Linked DNA regions of Callithrix jacchus. The protein of the gene in region 3 purifies or fractionates together with the protein of the main gene of each other region. This does not show direct contact. Links are inferred from orthologs where the notes say so. Each region holds a gene or a part of one and is shown on either strand. Other genes may lie near its edges. The genes, in order: DPF2, BCL7A and ARID1A.

The links.
Region 1: the proteins of ARID1A (region 3) and DPF2 purify together in Homo sapiens (affinity purification with mass spectrometry; 6 studies listed by BioGRID and IntAct, counting the BioPlex papers as one, with this or other methods). This does not show direct contact. The link is inferred for Callithrix jacchus from reciprocal best matches to the Homo sapiens genes ARID1A and DPF2.
Region 2: the proteins of ARID1A (region 3) and BCL7A purify together in Homo sapiens (affinity purification with mass spectrometry; 5 studies listed by BioGRID and IntAct, counting the BioPlex papers as one, with this or other methods). This does not show direct contact. The link is inferred for Callithrix jacchus from reciprocal best matches to the Homo sapiens genes ARID1A and BCL7A.

The regions. Positions count from the first base shown.
Region 1 is NC_133511.1:122,416,307-122,422,618, reverse strand, and holds the start of DPF2 (zinc finger protein ubi-d4), read right to left. Parts: upstream 4,045-6,312; 5' UTR 4,003-4,044; coding exon 3,971-4,002; intron 1-3,970. UniProt on the Homo sapiens protein: Plays an active role in transcriptional regulation by binding modified histones H3 and H4. Is a negative regulator of myeloid differentiation of hematopoietic progenitor cells. Might also have a role in the development and maturation of lymphoid cells.
Region 2 is NC_133510.1:125,226,770-125,232,937, forward strand, and holds the start of BCL7A (B-cell CLL/lymphoma 7 protein family member A), read left to right. Parts: upstream 1-2,291; 5' UTR 2,292-2,463; coding exon 2,464-2,555; intron 2,556-6,168.
Region 3 is NC_133508.1:63,424,531-63,430,048, reverse strand, and holds part of ARID1A (AT-rich interactive domain-containing protein 1A), read right to left. Parts: intron 3,651-5,518; coding exon 3,443-3,650; intron 2,310-3,442; coding exon 2,177-2,309; intron 1,996-2,176; coding exon 1,820-1,995; intron 1,456-1,819; coding exon 1,305-1,455; intron 1,224-1,304; coding exon 1,089-1,223; intron 1,005-1,088; coding exon 908-1,004; intron 489-907; coding exon 1-488. UniProt on the Homo sapiens protein: Involved in transcriptional activation and repression of select genes by chromatin remodeling (alteration of DNA-nucleosome topology).

The DNA.
Region 1 (6,312 bases), on a different chromosome or scaffold from region 3:
CTGCAAAGTCAGAGCAAAGAGGCTGGAAACAGTTTTGGGGGAATGGATGAGAGATGTTCTGTCAAAGCTCTTGTGAGCTTTGTGGGATTTCAGAAGGTAAGGCAAACAGTCTTGGGGGTAAAGGGCTGGGAACGAAACACTTAAGTGTATGTGTGGGGAGAATGTGATGAAGAGAGAACAAGACAGAATGAGAGTGAGCTCTTAAGAACTTAAGGGAGCTGGGCACAGTGGCTCATACCTGTAATCCTAGCACTTTGAAAGGACAAGGCAGGTGGATCTCTTGAGCTCAAGAGTGAGAGACCACCCTGGGCAATATAGTGAGATCTCATCTCTACAAAATGTTTTAAAAAAAAAATCAGCTAGGCACGGTGGTGCACACCTGTGGTCCTACGAAGTCCCTGGGGGAAATGAGGTAGGGGATGATTTGAGCCTAGGAAGCTGAGGGTGCAGTAAACCAAGGTTACACCATTGCACTTCAGCCTGGGGAACAGAGGGAGGCTCTATCTCTTAAAACAAAACAAAACAAAACAACAACAACAACAAAAACTTAACGCTCTCTAAGCAAGAAATGTCAAGCTAAATTAGCACTGTTCTCTAGATCTTTTTTTTTTTTTTTTTTTTTTTTTTTTAAGACAGAGTCTTAGTCTTTTGCCCAGGCTGGAGTGCAGTGGCATGACAGCTCACTGCAACCTCTGCCTCCCAGGTTCCAATGATCCTCCTGCCTCAGGCTCCTGAGTAGATGAGCTTACAGACACACGCCAGTATGCCCAGCTAACTTTTGCATTTTTAGTGTAGATGGGGTTTCACCATTTTGGCCAAGCTGGTCTCAAACTCTTGATCTCATGATCTGCCTGCTTTGGCCTCCCTAAGTGCTAGGATTACAGGCATGAGCCACTGTGCCGGCCTCTAGCTCTTGTCTATAGAAAGTTTAAAAACCAATCAGCAGCTACAGCTATACTTTTATTTTACTCTCCTCGTAAGAACCTTAAAAGATTTTTTTTTTTCTCGAGACAGAATATTGCTCTGTTGCCCAGGCTGGAGTACAGTGGCACCATCTCAACTCGCTGCAACCTCCACCTCCTGGGTTCAAGCAATTCTCCTGCCTCAGCCTCCTGAGTAACTAACTGGGACTACAGGCGCGCACCACCATGCCTAATTTTTGTATTTTTAGTAGAGACTGGGTTTCACCACATTGGCCATGCTGGTCTTGAAAACTGACCTTGTGATCTGCCTGCCTTGGCTTCCCAACGTGCTGGGATTATAGCTGTGAGCCACTGTGCCGAGCCTCTTTTTTTTAAAGACAGAGTCTTAAGGTGTCACTCAGGCTGGAGGGCAGTGGTGTGATATCAGCTCACTGAAACCTCTGCCTCCCGGGTTCAGACAATTCATATGCCTCAGCCTCCTGAGTAGCTGGGACTACAGGTGTGTGCCAGTACACCCGGCTAATTTTTCTATTTTTAGTAGAGATGGAGTCTCACCATGTTGGCCAGGCTGGTCTTGAACTCCTGACCTCAAGCGATCCACCCACCTTGGCCTCCCCAAGTGTTGGGATAACAGGCGTGAGCCACCCTGCTCAGCCAAGATTTTTATTTCTGACATCACATTTGGAAGGGACAGAAATTTACAAATAAGAAAATTCTTCTCCCAGGACAAGATGCAAGTCAGAAAGTTGAGTGGCTGGGTGCGGTGACTCATGCCTGTAATCCTAGCATTTTATGAGGCTGAGACCCGTGGATCACCTCTGAGGTCAGGAGTTCAAGACCAGCCCGGCCAACATGTTGAAACCCGCTGGGTGTGGTGGTGGGTTGCCTTTCAGCTATTCAGGAGGCTGAGGCAGGATAATTGCTGGAACCTGGGAGGCTGAGGTTGCAGTGAGCCGAGATGGTGTCACTGCACTCCATCCTGGGCTGACAACAGCAAGACTCTGTCTCAAAAAAATAAAAGAAAATATGAGCTAGTGGTCCCGACCTCAGTGTATAATATCAACTGTCAGAAGACTAGGCACACTATAATCAAGAGAAGTGCCAGAAAAGCATCTCTTTCCAATGAACTGGAAGAATGGAAGCCCTTGTTAAAGGGATCATTCTGCAGGAGTACGTATTAACTGTGGTCTGAGGCCCTGTACAGCCAGAAATGAGGAGAAAGTTGGTTTCTCATTACTGGCATTCAGGAATTAGTGGCAGGTGAAACAATCTCTATAGTTTTTCCAAGAGAAATCAGAAGTCATGCGGTTTAAATGGGAACCCCTCACTTATGACACAACTTGAAAGCACTGGCAACCCTATCTCCCTGAGGAAAGTCTTCCAACACAAAAAGCCCCACTACGTTTAACTCTCAAAACATAGGCAAGTCTGATATTCCTCCAGTACAAGGGGAATCTTTCTTTTTATTTTTGGAGAAACCCGTGTAAAACATCCCCTTCCAATGGGATAAGGGAAGTCAACAAAGACGCAGGGAAACAAAGAACATCTCAGCCAGGAAGGATAACCGGTATACAAACAGTGTCATTTCTAAATTGAGAAAAATGTCAGCCTCAAGAGAGCTGCGAAACTGGAGTGGGCAGATCAGAGAGAAAGACAATAGTGTTGGGAGGAGGGTGGCTGAAAGAGACAGGATAGATCAGAAAGCAAGTTAAATGAAACACACACACACACACACACACACACACACACACGAGGAGGAAAGGCACTTAGCTTAATGGAAGTGGGAAAGCATTCTCAAAGAAAAGGCTTCAGGGCATGAGGGAGAAGCAGTTTACTCTTTAAAAAGGCTCTTAGGAAGAGTGGGGCTCAGCCCACGATAAAGACGGATGAAAAGCGGTGAGTCCCTTAGAACAGCTAGCGAACCTCTACTTTGTCATTCAGTCAAAATCCAACAGCCCTGACTGGACAGCTAGACATCCTCAATTTTCCCACCCTTCCACTGTCATTCAGTCAAAATCCAACAGCCCTGACTGGACAGCTAGACATCCTCAATTTTCCCACTCTTCCACTGTCATTCATTCCGTCAAAATCCAACAGCCCTGACTGGACAGCTAGACATCCTCAATTTTCCCACCCTTCCACCAAGCCCAACGTACCCATTAAAAGAAGCTCTATTCGCCTAGGGGGCATTAACCCAGTCCAAAACTCGTTCTCATTCTTCTGTAGGAATTAATCAAGTCCCAAAGCATCTTTAACTGACAGGAAGCAGTTCATAGGCCAGTGTCCATGGCCCCAACAAATACTAACTTTAACTCTGCTTGATATCTGGCCAGCACAATGGTACCGTGAAATAGGAAGAATACCCATCTGGATGTCCCTTTAGGCTACTGAGCTGTCCTGAACGGCTTCGGTCCAGCCGCAGGTTTTTGATGGCTGCTTCTGGACTGCGCCAAGGCCCGCTCCCCTGAAGTTCCTTCCCTTCTTGTATCCGCTCTTCGACAAATTCTTCCCAAGAATATTTGCAGTCTTAGGTGCCCGCCACCCAAGATCCTCCCAAACGTCACGGGGCCGCTCGGAACTAAAACATCCAGCCCCGCAGTGCACCCCACTGGGGCCGCCGACCCTGTTGCTGCAGCGGACGGGACGGGACCGGGCGGTTTGGGCGGCGGACTCGCCAGGGGCCGCCCGGGCCTCAGCCCCGCTCCTCGGGACTGAGGCGTCTGGGGAGAGGACCGGGACCGTGAGTCTCGCGCGCAGGCAGGGCGCCATGCTCTAGAAACCGTCAGCCCCGAGGAACGCTCAGGCTACACAGCCCCGCAGGGAGGCCGCCCGTCGAGGCTCCAGTGTGCCCCCATCAGGGCCTCCACAAGTTTCCAAAGAAGCGCAACGTCTTCTCCAGAGTCTCCTGTTGCCCTCCCCACCAGGAGTCGCAACACGATCTTGCCGGGCATGTCCCTCTCTCCGTCTCATCTCTTCCCGCACGGCCCCCTCCTCCCAGGCCCTTTACAAAACCTGCCGCCCTAGGAGAGAAAGAAACGACCACTCACAGCTTCACGACATTCTCCACCACAGCCGCCATCTTCCCTGCTCCTCTCCCTCGGGCCGGGAGGCCCCAGAGTCCGCAGCGCGCAGGCGCCGGGACCACACGGGGGCACCAGGTTCCTCGCCCTCTGCGCAGGCGCCGCCCGGGCGCGCGCACGAGAGCGAGTACTGAAGAAAGCTCTACGCTTGTCTGCGGGGGCCGGGAAGGAAACGCGTGAGACCGCACGGGAGACCGATGCGCAGGCGAAACCGGAGACTGGCATGCGTCCCGGAGCTCGGTTGGAGGCGGGCCGCCTCTTCTATCTAGAAGAGGTGGGGCAGGGCGAGGTGGCTCACGCCTGTAATCCCAGCACTTTGGGAGGCCAAGGCCCGTGGATCGGTTGGGCTCAGGAGTTCGAGACCAGTCTGGCCAACATGGTGAAACCCTGCCTTTACTAAAAATAGAAAAATTAGCCGGGCATGATGTCAGGTGCCTGTAATCCCAGCTACTTGGGAGGCTGAGGGGGAGAATCCTTTGAACCCGGGAAGGCGGAGGTTGCAGTGAACTGGGATTGCACCATTGCACTCCTGCCTGGGCTACAGAGCGAGACCCCACCTTAAAAAAAAAAGAGCTGGAGGAGGCCCGTCGCGGTGGCTCCCAGCACTTTGGGTGGCGGAGGCCGGAGGATTGCTTTGAGCTCAGGAGTTTGAGACCAGCCTGGGAAACTTAGGGAGTCCTCGTCTCTACTAAAAATTAAAAAATTACCCGGGTGTGGTGGCATGTGCCTGTGGCCCCAGCTACTCAAGATGCTGAGGTGACCAGATCGCTTGAGCACAGGAGGGTAGAAGCTGAGTGAGCCGTAATCGCACCACTGCACTCCAGCCTGGGCGACAAAGCGAACCTTGTGTCAAAAAAAATAAACAAACAAAAACCCCAGCACAGTCGACCTTCACTATCACCTCTTTTCAGTCTTTCAAAGCAAATAGTACTCCCTGTCTCTGTTGCCTTGTTTCCAAGTCCCCCTTCCACCCAATTGGTTCCCACCTGTTCACTTGAACTAGCTCCTGTAACCCTGACCTCCCTTTCAGCAGATTTAGAGATGTCTTCTCTGTCCTCATGGGCCTGTCAACCCCATGACACTGTTGGCCACTCTGCTTTTCAAACTCTTCTGCAGATCTTTGAGACGCCACCCCCTCCCGGTTGTCCTACCCCACTGGCAGTTCCTTCCAGTCTCTTCCTCTGCTCAGCCTCTAACTGTCAGAATCCTCAGGGCTTGGTCTTTGGTACTTGTCATCTTTCCAATATATCTTATATCACCAATTCCAAGATGCACATAAATCTCCCCCTTCATTTTAATATTTCAGAAGCTGGACACATCTTACCATTGCTGTGTCTTAAAATCATACTTAGCAGGTGAGAGTTTTTGTCATTCCTAACCCTGTACGAGTATCAAAACATGCAGAATAGGTGTTAGCAGCTTGGAAGAAAAACCCAGAGAAGATGGTAGTAGATTTTTTTTTTGTGAGACACAGTCTTGCTCTGTTGCCCAGGCTGAAGTGCAGTGGTATGATCTCGGCTCACTGCAAACTCCACCTCCCGGGTTCAAGAGATTCTCCTGCCTCAGCTTCCCAAGTAGCTGGGATTACAGGCCTGTGCCACCATGTCTGGCTAAGTTTTGTATTTTTAGTAGAGATGGGGGTTTCACCATGTTGGCCAGGCTGGTCTTGAACTCCTGACCTCAGGTGATCTGCCTGCCTGAGCTTCCCATAGTGCTGGGATTGTAGGCATGGGCCCCCGTGCCTGACCTAAAATGTTTTTTTAAAAATTAGCTGGGTGACCGGGCACAGTGGCTCACGCCTGTAATTCCAACACTTTGGGAGGCCAAGGCAGGTGGATCACTTGAGGTCAGGGGTTGGACACCACCCTGGCCAACATAGTGAAACTTTGTATCTACTAAAAATACAAAAATTAGCTGGGCATGGTTACCGAGAACTAGCTCAGTTGGGGGACTCCCACCCAGGCGGCTGAAGGTATTCAGAGAGGCAGACACCCGGATAGCCAACAGAGTGGATCTGTCCTGGGGACCAACAGCCTGAGAGCCTGCGGGCCTTGCAGCTCTCCAGGACTGAAGGCCCTGAGCAGAGATTCATCCACGTAATTATTCACTCTTTGACAGGTGATTCTTACTAATGCACAGGTGTTCTACATATACACATAACTCCAGACTATACCAAGTAGGCAGCTGTTACCCGCCCACCACTAAGTACAAACTAAAAGGTATCCTCCACAAAGGAGCCATGGGGGCAGGATAAACTTAATGTTTCTTAACGTGGTGGCGCGTGCCTGTAATCCAAGCTACTCGGGAGG
Region 2 (6,168 bases), on a different chromosome or scaffold from region 3:
ATTCCAGAACTTTCCTATCACTCCAAAAGGAAACCCCACGCCCATTAGCAGTCACTCCTATTCTCCCCTCCGCCTTGCGCCTGGCAACCACCAGTCTGATTTCTGGCTCTCTGGATTCACCTAGTATTAGATATCTCACGTAAGTGGATTTACACAATATTTGTCCTTTTGTGGCAGGCTTCTTCCACTTAGCATGTTTCAAGGTTCACCCATGTCATAGCATGTATTCATCCCCTTTTGCGGCTGAATAATATTCCATTGTGTGGACAGACATATTTGTCCGTTCATCAGTCATTATTTGAGTTCTGACAGGATATTTTCCTATTTTAAATTGTTAGATATATTTTTTAAAAGTTCCGTGTGGCCCAAAGCACATATCTGTTGATCTCATATCTCTGTCAGATCTGTTTTATGACCTGCTGTTGCATATTTTCCCAGAAAATCCTCAGAACGATTCTTTGAGGTATTTGTATTTGTTCCTTTTTGTTTTGCTTTGTTTTTTTGAGACGCAGTCTTGCTCTGTCACCTAGGCTGGAGAGCAACGGCATGATCTTGGCTCACTGCAACCCCAGGTTCAGGCAATTCTCCTGCCTCAGCCTCCGGAGTCCCTGAGATTACAGGCGCGCACCACCACGCCCCGCTAATTTTTGTATTTTCAGTAGAGACAGAGTTTCACCCTGTTGGCCAGGCTGGTCTCAAACTCCTGACCTTGTGATTTGCCCACCTCAGCCTCCTAAAGTGCTGGAATTACAGATGTGAACACCACGCCTGGCCTTTTTTTTTTTTTTGAGACAGGGTCTCACTCTGTCACCCAGGCTGGAGTGCAGTGGTGTGATCTCCACTCACTGCAACTTCCATCCCCCAGGTTCAAGCGAGTCTCCTGTCTCAGCCTCCAGAGTAGCTGGGATTATAGGTGCCTGCCACCGTGCCTGGCTAATTTTGTATTTTTAGTAGAATGGGTTTCAGCATGTTGGCCAAGCTGGTCTCGAACTCCTGACTTCAGTTGATTCGCCCATCTCAGCCTTCCAAAGTGCTGGGATTACAGGCATGAGCCACTGCGCCCGGCCAGCATTTGTTCTTTTCTTCATTATTCACGTCAGGAGCTTGAGTTTCATAATAGTAAGAATAAATGCCTAGGAAAAGGCCTGCAGTTTCTCCATTTCCTCAGTAGCGTTTTCCCCAAAGACCAAACCCTCAGGGGAAACTGGTCTAGAGTAGCGACAGCTACAACCTTGTTGTATGTTCAGGGCTGCAACCTTGACCATTCCCGGGACTCAGTTTCCCCAGCTGTGAAATGGCAGGCCCAGGGCATGACATTCGGGCCACTCTCAGTCTCCCACTTCATTTCAGGCGCGCGTTAGCTCTGGTCCAGCCGGTTCCGATGCAGCTGAAGACCAAGGTGCGGCACCCAGGTTACCCTGATCATCGCAGATTCCTCTCCGGGGCTCTGTTCTGAGGCCTCAAAAGTCCTCCTTGTAGATGGGACCAGTCCCTTGTACCCGCTAGGGTCGTTTCGGCAGCAGCAGCGCCTGGTCTCAGTCTGGTACTGAAGTCAGGAGTGGCTTAAGGGGAAATTGTGGTCCTCTGGTGAACCCGAGCGAAGACCCTCTCGCTTTATTTCTGAGATAAAGCGGGGGCAGGAGGAAGAGTCCCTGTTACGATGCTGATCATCATCGAGCTTTTCCTGAGCTCGATGAAATTCTTTAGGTCGCATGATCGAGAGTCTCTCGTGGTCTGCCTGGCCCCAGGCACCTTCCTACGAACCCGGTGTTCCAAAAGGACAAGGCCTGGGGCAGGCGACGTCCTAGCTCGCATTCGAACAGGGCCGCGGGCCAGCAGAGACGCGCGATGCCCAACTCTTTCCGAGAGCACCTCGCGTCCCGAACCGGCGCCTTCAACTCGGGGAAGTCAAGAGTCCGGCAAGAAACTTGACCGCACCCGCCGCCGCGCTCCAGGCCCAGGCAGGGGCTGCTGAGCCGGCTCCCCAGGAAACGTGCTCCAGCGCCCCCGCAGACCGGCGGCCTCCCGGGGACCCCTCGGCACCTGCGGCCTCCGAGGAAGGGTCCGCGCGCACTTCAAGCCCGCCCCCGCCGCGCGCCCGGAGCCGCCTCCCTGGGAGAGCGTCCGGGGCGTCCCCCCTGGGGGCGCGGGAGGCCCGGGGGCGCTGCCCGGTGGCCGCCGCGCCCGGAGGCCGCACCGCCGGCGGCGGCAGCAGCGCGGCTCCCCCTGCTCCGTGCAGCTGCCGCCCGGCGCTTGCGCACTGGGCCCAGCGCGCGGCGGCCCCAGGCTTTGTGTGTGTGTGTGTGAGTGTGTGTGTGAGTGTGTGTGTGAGTGTGTGCGTGTGAGAGTGCGAGTGTCTGTGCGCCAGTGAGTGAGCGGCGGGCGGGCGCGAGTGTGGCCGCCGCGGAGCGCGAGCAGGACCCGGCGGGCGCGCTCCCCAGCCTCCGTCTCCCCGCCGGAACCATGTCGGGCAGGTCGGTTCGAGCCGAGACCAGGAGCCGGGCCAAAGATGATATCAAGAGGGTCATGGCGGCGATCGAGAAAGTGCGCAAATGGTAAGCGGAGGCGCCTGCCGCCCGCCGCCTCCCCGGCCGCCCCGAGCCCGAGCGCGGCTCCAGAAAGCCGCGGGGCGCAGCGCCCGGGCCGCCTGCCCCGGCCCGGCCCCGCCGCGGGCCCCGGGACTTGGCTAGGGCGCGCGGGCGGGCGGGCGGTGCGCGAGCCGGGTCACCTGCGCCAGGCGGGGGCCGCGGCCGCTGCCCAGGTGCGCTCGCTCCTGTCGCCCACCTGGCGCGGCGGCGGCGGCGGCCCGGAGGCGGCGGGCGCCGGGGCCGGGCGGTTGGAGCCGCGGGCAGCCCCCACCGCGGCGCTTGGCTCCCGGGAGGGGGGCTCGGGGCCGGCCCCAGAAGCCATTTCGTTTTGTGCAAGTCACATGAAAGCGGCTTCCCGCGCGCCGGGGCCGTGATGCCGGCGGCGGCGGGGAGAGCGCGAGCTCCATTGTGCAGACTCCGAGCGGGCCGCCGCCGCCGTCTCCTCCCCGCGCGCCCTGGCCCGCGCCCCGCCGCTCTCCGCCGGCCCCGGCCCGCCCGGCTGCCCGCTCCCGCCTCCCGGGCCCGGCGCCCTCGAGTCTGCGGAGTTTGCAGAGCGCGAGCCGTTTAAATTTAGCGCTTTGGGCTGCCTGGAGCGAGAGCTCTCGGCGACCAGGAAAGATGGGGGCGAGCGCCGGGAGCCAGCGGCCAGGGGCGCGGGGCGCCCACGTCCCACCCCGCTCTGCGCGGCGCCCGGGGCGGGGGGCTCGGGCCAGCAGATGTTTTTGGCCAGAAGCCGTTGGTCCTGGGCCGCGGCTGCCTTTCCACACCGCGAGCTCGTGTTTGTTTTGCGGAGGGAGCCGTTGTTTTTGTTCTCTGCACGGGGGTGAGGAGGACTCGGCGGCTGTCGCCGCCGCCGCCGCGCGTGGTTTTCGGTCTCCGGTTAGCGTCCGCCCGGCGTGGCCGGGTAGTCATTTAGGGGATCGAACCTCTCCGCGGCCTCGTCCGGGTCTGCTCGGAATCGTCCTCTGGGCCAGGCCCGAGGCGCCAGCAGATCGCTAGGTTGGGTCAGACTTGTTGAAAACTCCCCGCTCCCTGATTTCAACTTTATTATTTTTTTCCCACGCCTTCACCGGGGTCTGGGAGGGAGAAGAGCCGCTGCGATGCTGGCCCCGAGTGTCAGCGCCCGCGGGCTCGTCCCGACCCTTTATTTCGAGCCTGGAAGCCGGGCAGGCCCCTTGGCAAGGGATGTTTACGTTTAGGGGTGTCATTTCTCAAGTAGTGCCTCGGTCTCTAAAAGCCACTGGGGGCGAGCCTCCGGTGTGGCGGTGTCACAAGTTAGCTGTCCCTTCTGAGTCAAACCCAACAAAAAAGGCAAGAGGAAAATCAATAAAGTCCACGTGCTCTCGGGCCTCCTATGGAAAGGGCTGGCTGCGATGGCCGGATGCCCGGCCGTGGGCTGGGTTTGACTCCAGTGGGACAAAGAATTTTCAGAACCGGGAGAAGGGGAGGCTTTCCAAAGTTGAGATCCAAGTCGTCGATGTCTCGGGAGCTCCCCTGGTGCGCAGGGCGCCCGGTGCCCGACTGGAGCCATTTAAAAATGGCAGAAACAGCTGCAGGCCAACACACACACACTAGAAAGCAACCCGCAGCCCCCTCCACTGTGGGATTCCCCGTGGGAACCCTGAAGTGGCTCCCCTCCTCGCCTCAGCCCCTGTGCAAAGAAAGAACTGGTGTGTCTGTGCCTGGGTCCCTTCTGTCGCCGGCCTGAAGGTTGGGAAGCAGCCGGCAAGCCGCCTTTCTCTGCTTGGGGAGGCGTGGTGGGGCCTCCTGCCCCAGGTTCCCGGCAGGGCAGAGGCTCCTGCACTCTGACAGCTGCTCCCGCAGGGCGGCCAGCTGCTCTGCAGGGAGGGCAGATGGAGAGATGGGGCTTTCCACCCCGCGGGCCCCAGGGTGGCCAGCCTGGAGGCCTTCCAGCCCACTGAGCCCACGGGGACCAGGCCTGTAGTTGGGGCTGAGGGAGGCGGGGCTGCGCCTCTACGCCTCCCTGAGTTTGGGGAAACATCACATCGTGTCCTCTGAAGACCTCAGGCGTTGGGATCTCGAGGTCGGGCTTCCAGTTCACTTTCTTGCCGTGACCTTGGGCATATCATGATCACTTCTCTAACCATGGTGACCGGGGCTCTGTGCGTGGCCTCTGGGTCGCCTCGGGTTGTTGAGGACCAGTGAGGTCACGCCTCCAAAAGCAGCGAGCCACGGGCGCAGGAGGAGCAGTTATTCAGGGTTGTCCCTATTGTAAGGTGGACTTTATAGAAACTTGGCTTTCTGATTTTTTTTTTTTTTTTTGGCCCCTTCTAAGTGAAAGCCTTGGACTTATTGCCCAGGTTTCTCCGGCCCCTGAGAAGCCATCGCCCACCTTCTCCGTGCCTTTGGATTGGGTCTTCGACTCAGCCCACAAAACTTTGGGTTGTTTATTAATTGTGTGGCCACCAACCATGCATTTCACCACTGGCCGGGAGGTGGGGTTGCCAGGTTTAAGCAGAAAAAATGCAGCACACCCAGTTAAATTCAAATTTCAGATAATGTTTTAAAAATAAATGTTTTTGTGTGTAAGTATGTCTCATGCCATATTTGGGACATACTTATACGAAAACATTATCTGTTTATCTGAAATGGAAATTTAACAAGGAATCCTGTATTTTTTTACCCAGAGGGGAGCTGAGGTGTCTGGCAGACGATTTGGCCCCGTGAGCCTTGGGTGGGTTTCTCCTCAGCCCCAGTGACCCCTAAAATTACACCCCCTCAAACCATCCCCTGGCACTTCCCCCACCCCCAGAAAAAGCTGTGGCCTTCCTCTCATTTCCCTGTTTTCTGTCTGGTGTTTCAGCAAGACAGGCCGGTGCAGTGTTAAGTAAGCAGAATGTGGCAGAAGGGAAAACAAAATGGTGGGCCTCTTTTGGGAAACCGGGCCAGGATTCCGAGGCCCTGTGCTGGAGGAGGAAAGAAGGGGCCTGTGGGAGACGAAGGCTTGGGCTGCAGCATAGGCTTGGAGTCCCAGTGTGGTGGCTCACGCCTATAATCCCAGCACTCTGGGAGGCTGAGATGGGAGGATGACTTGAACCTAGGAGTTTGAGACCAGCCTGGGCAACATAGTGAGACTCCATCTCTTTTTTATTTTTATTTTTCATTTTTTTGAGACGGAGTTTCCTTCTTGTCACCCAAGCATGAGGGCAATGGTGTGATCTCGGTTCACCACAACCTCTGCCTCCTGGGTTCAAGCGATTTTCTTACCTCAGCCTCTCAAGTAGCTAGGATTACAGGCTCCACTTTTAGTAGAGATGGGGTTTCTCCATGTCGGTCAGGCTGGTCTTGAACTCAGGTGATTTATGCCTCGGCCTCCCAAAGTGCTGGGATTACAGGCGTGACCCACCGCGGTCTTAATTTTAAAAAAAGGAAAAGAAAAACTAGGCCAGGTGTGGCGGCTCACACCTGTAATCCCAGCACTTTTGGAGGCCGAGGTGGTCAGATCACCTAAGGTTAGGAGTTTGAGACCAACCTGGCCAACATGGTGAAACTCTGTCTCTACTAAAAATACAAAAAATTAGCCAGGTGTGGTGGTGCACACCTGTAATCCCAGCTACTC
Region 3 (5,518 bases):
TCTGTTCGGTTCACGCCATGATAGGCGGGGCCCTGGGGGGCAGAGCCCGTGCTCTGCCTGTTGGCATAATTATAGGTCATGTCATTACGCCCCTGCCACATAGTGCCTTGCTGAGCAACCTCAGCTGATGCCTGTATGGGGCCGCCCATCATTTGCGGTGGCATGTTTTGCTGGGCACTGGTGCCAGGGGGTGCAGAGACACGGTCTCGGCCAAACTGGAATGGAAATTGGTTCTGGGGGCCGCCTGCTGGTCGGCGCTCAGTAGCAGCAGTGGCAGTGGCAGGATAGGCATTGCCATACTGGTTGTATACATCTTGCTGAGGGGAAGGCTGGGCAGCTTGTTGCTGGCTGGCAGGCTGGGGCTGGGCTGGGGGCAACTGCTGCTGCTGAGGCTGCCCCTGCCCAGTGCTGTATGGCACACTGTACATCTCCCCTTCATGCCGCTTAGCAGGAGGGCCATATGTGCCATCCATTGGCCGCTTGTAATTCTAAGGCAGAGAGAAGCAGAGGACAAGTTAATGCTCTGCACTCAGAGACATAAAGCCCACAGATGCCAAGATGGCTACAACCAAATGAATGGTGGACACAGACTCCAAGGAAACAAAGGAATCACCTTAACAAACTGTCTTTTTAAGTTGTTTCCAAAAGCAACCACCACTCTTTCTTCCCCTCCCTTGCTCTAAGTAGAAAAATATATAAAACCTAAAAATCAAAATAAGATCTATTTCTAGCCCTTTCCAGCTCCAAACAGAAGAGATCGAGGACTTGGCTCTTTGGGCCCAAATGGCCAGTCAGGTGAGAGAAGAATGCCAAAATACTTAAAGTGAGCTTCTTAGACTTTAACACATTAGTAACTATCTTTCAAAGGGAATCTACATGCTAGTCCATTCCCAGCTACCCTCCTCACCTGCTGCTGCTGTGGATACATTGTGGTCTGTTGGCTGGGGAAGGGGCTGCCAGAAGGGGTGCCTTGGGTGGAAAACTGATTGCCATAGGAATCATGTCTACAGGAGGCAAAGAAACACATGATCAGGGTGGGCAGTGGCAAAGTCTGAGTCACAGCAGCACTGGGAGCAGGCTTTACTCACCGTTGCTGCTGCTGCTGCTGCTGTGGGGGGTAGCGGCTAGGAGAATACATCCCCGAGTCTGGGTTAGAAGGCATGAGATTCGGTTGTGGGGCCCCAGTGCCCATGTTTCCCTCAGGCCCTATTCCAGGCTCCGTCCTAAAGAAAATTGGAGAGGTGGATTGAGCCCACTATAGCTCTGGGTGCTGGGGGATGGATAGGAGCTGGTGCCATGCTTACCTCACTCTGTCATAAGGACCTCCATAGGGATAGTGCTGTCGTGGTCCCATTGCCACATTTCCAAGACCAGGGCCGGCAGCACGGCTGTAGGGGTCACCCATCCCGCCGTTGGGGCCCTGCCCTGAGGACATGAAGGGATCACTCCCTGGAGCTGAGTGTATAAAGGCAGGCAGTGAACAAACTGGCAAGTTGGCAAGCCTAGTAATCTACACTTTGCCTGCTCCAAAGACCCAGGCCCTTTTCAGAGTTCAGGTTTGATCTCACTGTTTTCCAGACAAGTTCAAAACAGAGTTCTAAAGATGCCCCAACCAGCAAAAAGCATGTACTTGTTAAGGGATGTCAAGGTGAGGCCAGGGAAGAGACAAAGGAGGTAGGGATGAAGAGGGGTAGTTAGGACAGGAAATGCATTATCTCAGAGATTGGCTCCACAAGAACCCTGAATCACTCAAGATTTTCCCCCATTTCACTGGCCCTGTCTTTAAGAGTACAAGTTCAATAGCAATCAGATCAGTCACCTTTCCTCATGCTGCCATAAGGATCCTTATTTGGCTCATAGGACATGCGCCCCATCATGTCAGAGGTATTCATACTGGGCTGATACCCAGGGTTTGGAGTCATGGAATTCCGCTTCTGGAATGTGGAGTCACTTCCATCATTAAAGGCATCCTGGATCCCAACCGAATTGCTCCTGCTCCAGAGTGAGGAAAATCAATTAAACCCCAGATAGACCAATTCCTCCAATATAACACAGGACACGCAGGAGTCACTGGCTGAGAAGGCAGAGGCAGGGACCACCCTTGGGCTGCAAAGGAGTTCCCATGCACTTATCTCCAACCATCCCCTCAACCATCCACCTCTGCTCTTGGCCTTACCTCATGCCTGGCAAGGGAGGGATCTGACTGTGTGGTGTGGATGCTGGAGTTGGTGGCTTTAAGTCTCCTCCTTCTGCCATGGAACTGCTGGTTGACTGAGGAGTCTGGGGCCCCTGCATAGATCCTGATCCCGCTGTGGACAGAGAAGCAAGTTGAGCAGTTTGCTTGGTATGGAAGTGTTTAACTCTCACAAAAACACATGAATGACCCAGAATCTCTTTGAGAAAGTTCTTCCTAAGGCCTTTCAAGCGTGATCACCATTCTTATCAGAAGATCTGCAATATCCAGGTCATAAAGAAGGAAATTTGAGGGTTTTGTAGCTCTTTTTGTTTTACATGTAGAGAAGAGAAGTGATGCGGCCATGACATCACTATGCTGGTGATTCCTTGAGTCACTGCCAGCTTCCCTGGCTATTTCTCTTCACTTCTCCAAGGACCTTGTCTAACCTATTAAATCCTGTAATGCTGGTGCAGGAGCTCCAGTCAGAACCTCCCAAATCCTGGGTAGGGTGGAATCCAAATCTGGGATGCATTTTAGGAGCCTAGGAGAGCTCCTGTTCTAAAGCATCCAGCATAGTGTCATCCCTCAAGTTCAAATGTTCTTCTAAGCTGATAAGCACAAAACTACTAGTAATTTAATGTTTCCAATAGTTACCATTCCCAGCAGTAGATATCCCACTGCTGAGGCCTCCCCAGCTGATGAGTCATCTCAGGCACTCATTACACCCTCAGAGGTCAACACCAGGGCACATGTGTTTACACCCACCTTCCAGGCACCCTGGCCTTCTTTCCTCCCCAGGCTCGCCCTAGGTCTCAGCCTCCTCTCAGAATGGAGGGTAGGCAGAGGCACTCCCATCAGAGAGTTCCATTCATATCCCTTCCCCACTCCCTCCTCATTCATTACTATCTCAGCTCCCTGGGGAATTCAGGGCTCTAGTGTGAGCTGCATTCTAAGGTGCTGACATCAATGGGCCAAAGCTTCCAGATGGCCCTGCTTTGCTGCCATTTGTCAGTTTCCCCACTCTTCTTGTGCCCCTCCCATTCACCAGTTTACAAACATTTGGCAAGTTGCCAGGTGCACAACAAAAATTAAAATTTAAGGGCTGCTGAAGAGTACCTCCCAGGGAAGTTTCCACTGCCCACTCTCTATTCAGCCAACCTGTTAAGACCTGTGGTAGGGCAAGAGCACAGATCCTTGGCATATCCTGCTGGAGGCAGGTGCAGTAGGCCCTCTCAGCCTTAGTGGGGCTGCTGACCCCATCCTTACCAGGAGAGGGAGGCTGGATCTTGGGCTGGGACTTCTTGGAATCGGCAGCTGCAAAGATGTCTGGGGGAGGATCTTCTCCCCGTTCAATCTTGCACTCAAAGGCATAGAGACACTGGATATACTGCTTTTTCAAGGAGCTGGCAGCACTGCTTGATGTGCCCACATTGAGGTTTGTTGCAAGTTCCCGCCATTTTTTGTTCTTGTTGACCTGTATAACCAAACCACAAGAGTCGGGGTATATCTCCTGCCTGGTTTTCCTGTCCATAAGCCACAAGCCCTATCAGGCTGCAAGGTAATTCATTTTTGTAGAATCACAGTTCTTAGGTAATTACAAAAGTTAATCTTGCTTGGTGGATAGTTCACAACAAGTGTTAAATCCAGTTTTTTAGTATACTGCCGAAAAATGGTGTACAAATCATCTGCCTATTTAAACCCTACTTTTTCTGAGACAGAAAAAATAAATCTCGCTCTGTCGCCTAGGCTGGAATGCAGTGGCACGAGCTTAACTTGCTGCAATTTCTGCCTCCCGGGCTCAAGCGATACTCTTACCTCAGCCTCCCAAGTAGCTGGGATTACAGGAGTGCACCACCACACCTGGCTAATTTTTGTATTTTTAGTAGAGACAGCATTTCACCATGTTGGCCAGGCTGGTCTCAAACTCCTGGCCTCAAGTGATCTGCCCTCCTCACCTCAAGTCATCTGCCCTCCTCAGACTCTCAAAGTGCTGGGATTACAAGCTTGAGCCACTGCACCTGGCCCTAAATCCTATTTTAAATGTACTACTAAAAACTAACATTTTATAAAATGGAGACTTGTGATAGTATCAATGACTACCCTGCTTGACTTGCTTTGTCAAACTGGGGATTTACACATCTGATTTTTTTTCTTGGCATGGCACTCTCTGCAAATTTGACATTCTTGTGCCACTGCTCTCCTACATATCTCAGTGACAAACAACCACAGGTCCCTTTACCTCATCAGTCACTGTCCTAATTGTCCAGATGTTCAGCGCCTTATTTATTTATTTAAAGAGTCTCACTTTGTCATCCAGGCTGGAGTGTAGTGGTGCCATTTTGGCTCACTGCAACCTCTGCCTCCTGGGTTCAAGTGATCCCCCTGCCTCAGCCTCCCAAGTAGTGGGACTATAGGCGCCTGGTTTACCACGCCCCACTAATTTTTGTATTTTTAGTAGAGACAGGGTTTTGCCATGTTGGTCAGGCTGGTCTTAAATCCTGACCTCAGGTGATTCAACCATCTCGGCCTCCCAAAGTGCTAGGATTACAGGTGTGAGCCACTGCACCCCGCCCAGGGCCGCCTTATGACTTTTGTACCTCCCCAGCAGCCAACCTACAGTTTTGCCTCCTTCCCTCAGCTTCAGGGCACACTGACCAAGCCCATTTCCTAGATGCTCCTTACAATTAGTCTTTCTGCTCTAGCTGGACAGGTCTTCTTCTTCATGTATTCTTATGCTTATTCATTTACCATATGGTAAGCCTGTCCCAAGGCCTGGGAACAAGGATTTTCCAGTCCCTATACACAAAGGAAGTTCAATAGGTTAAAATGTCTGCTGATATGGTACCCATGATACCAGAGAGGAGTTTAGAGAGCCACAGAGGGGGACAACCTAGATGGGGCAGAGGTGCATAGGAATACTTTCTAGAGTGGGTGAGCTAAGTCTTCATGGTTGGAGATGGCCTTGGGGGAAATATCCAGACTCCCATCTCTATGTCATCTGGCCAGTCTACTGGGTTGGCCACTCCTTCCACCTAAACCCTACTAATCCTTTAGATAAGCTGAAGATTCATCTTTGCTTTCTGGGAGTCTTCACAAACTAACTTATAAATAATACGCTTTTGCCACTGATTTATCACTGTTTTTATAAAAGTTTGATTATAATCATGGCATTTTAAAGGTTTGCATCCTTATGCAATTTGGAAGACAGGCTCAGGCATCAGGATTCTCTCTGTAACTCTTCCTAGGTTCAGTGAACCCTGAAGCCCACCCAATGAAAAGTGAGTGAAACTAACTCAATGCTCCCTTTCCCTATAGGCAGGGAAGGCTTGACTATGCGATCTG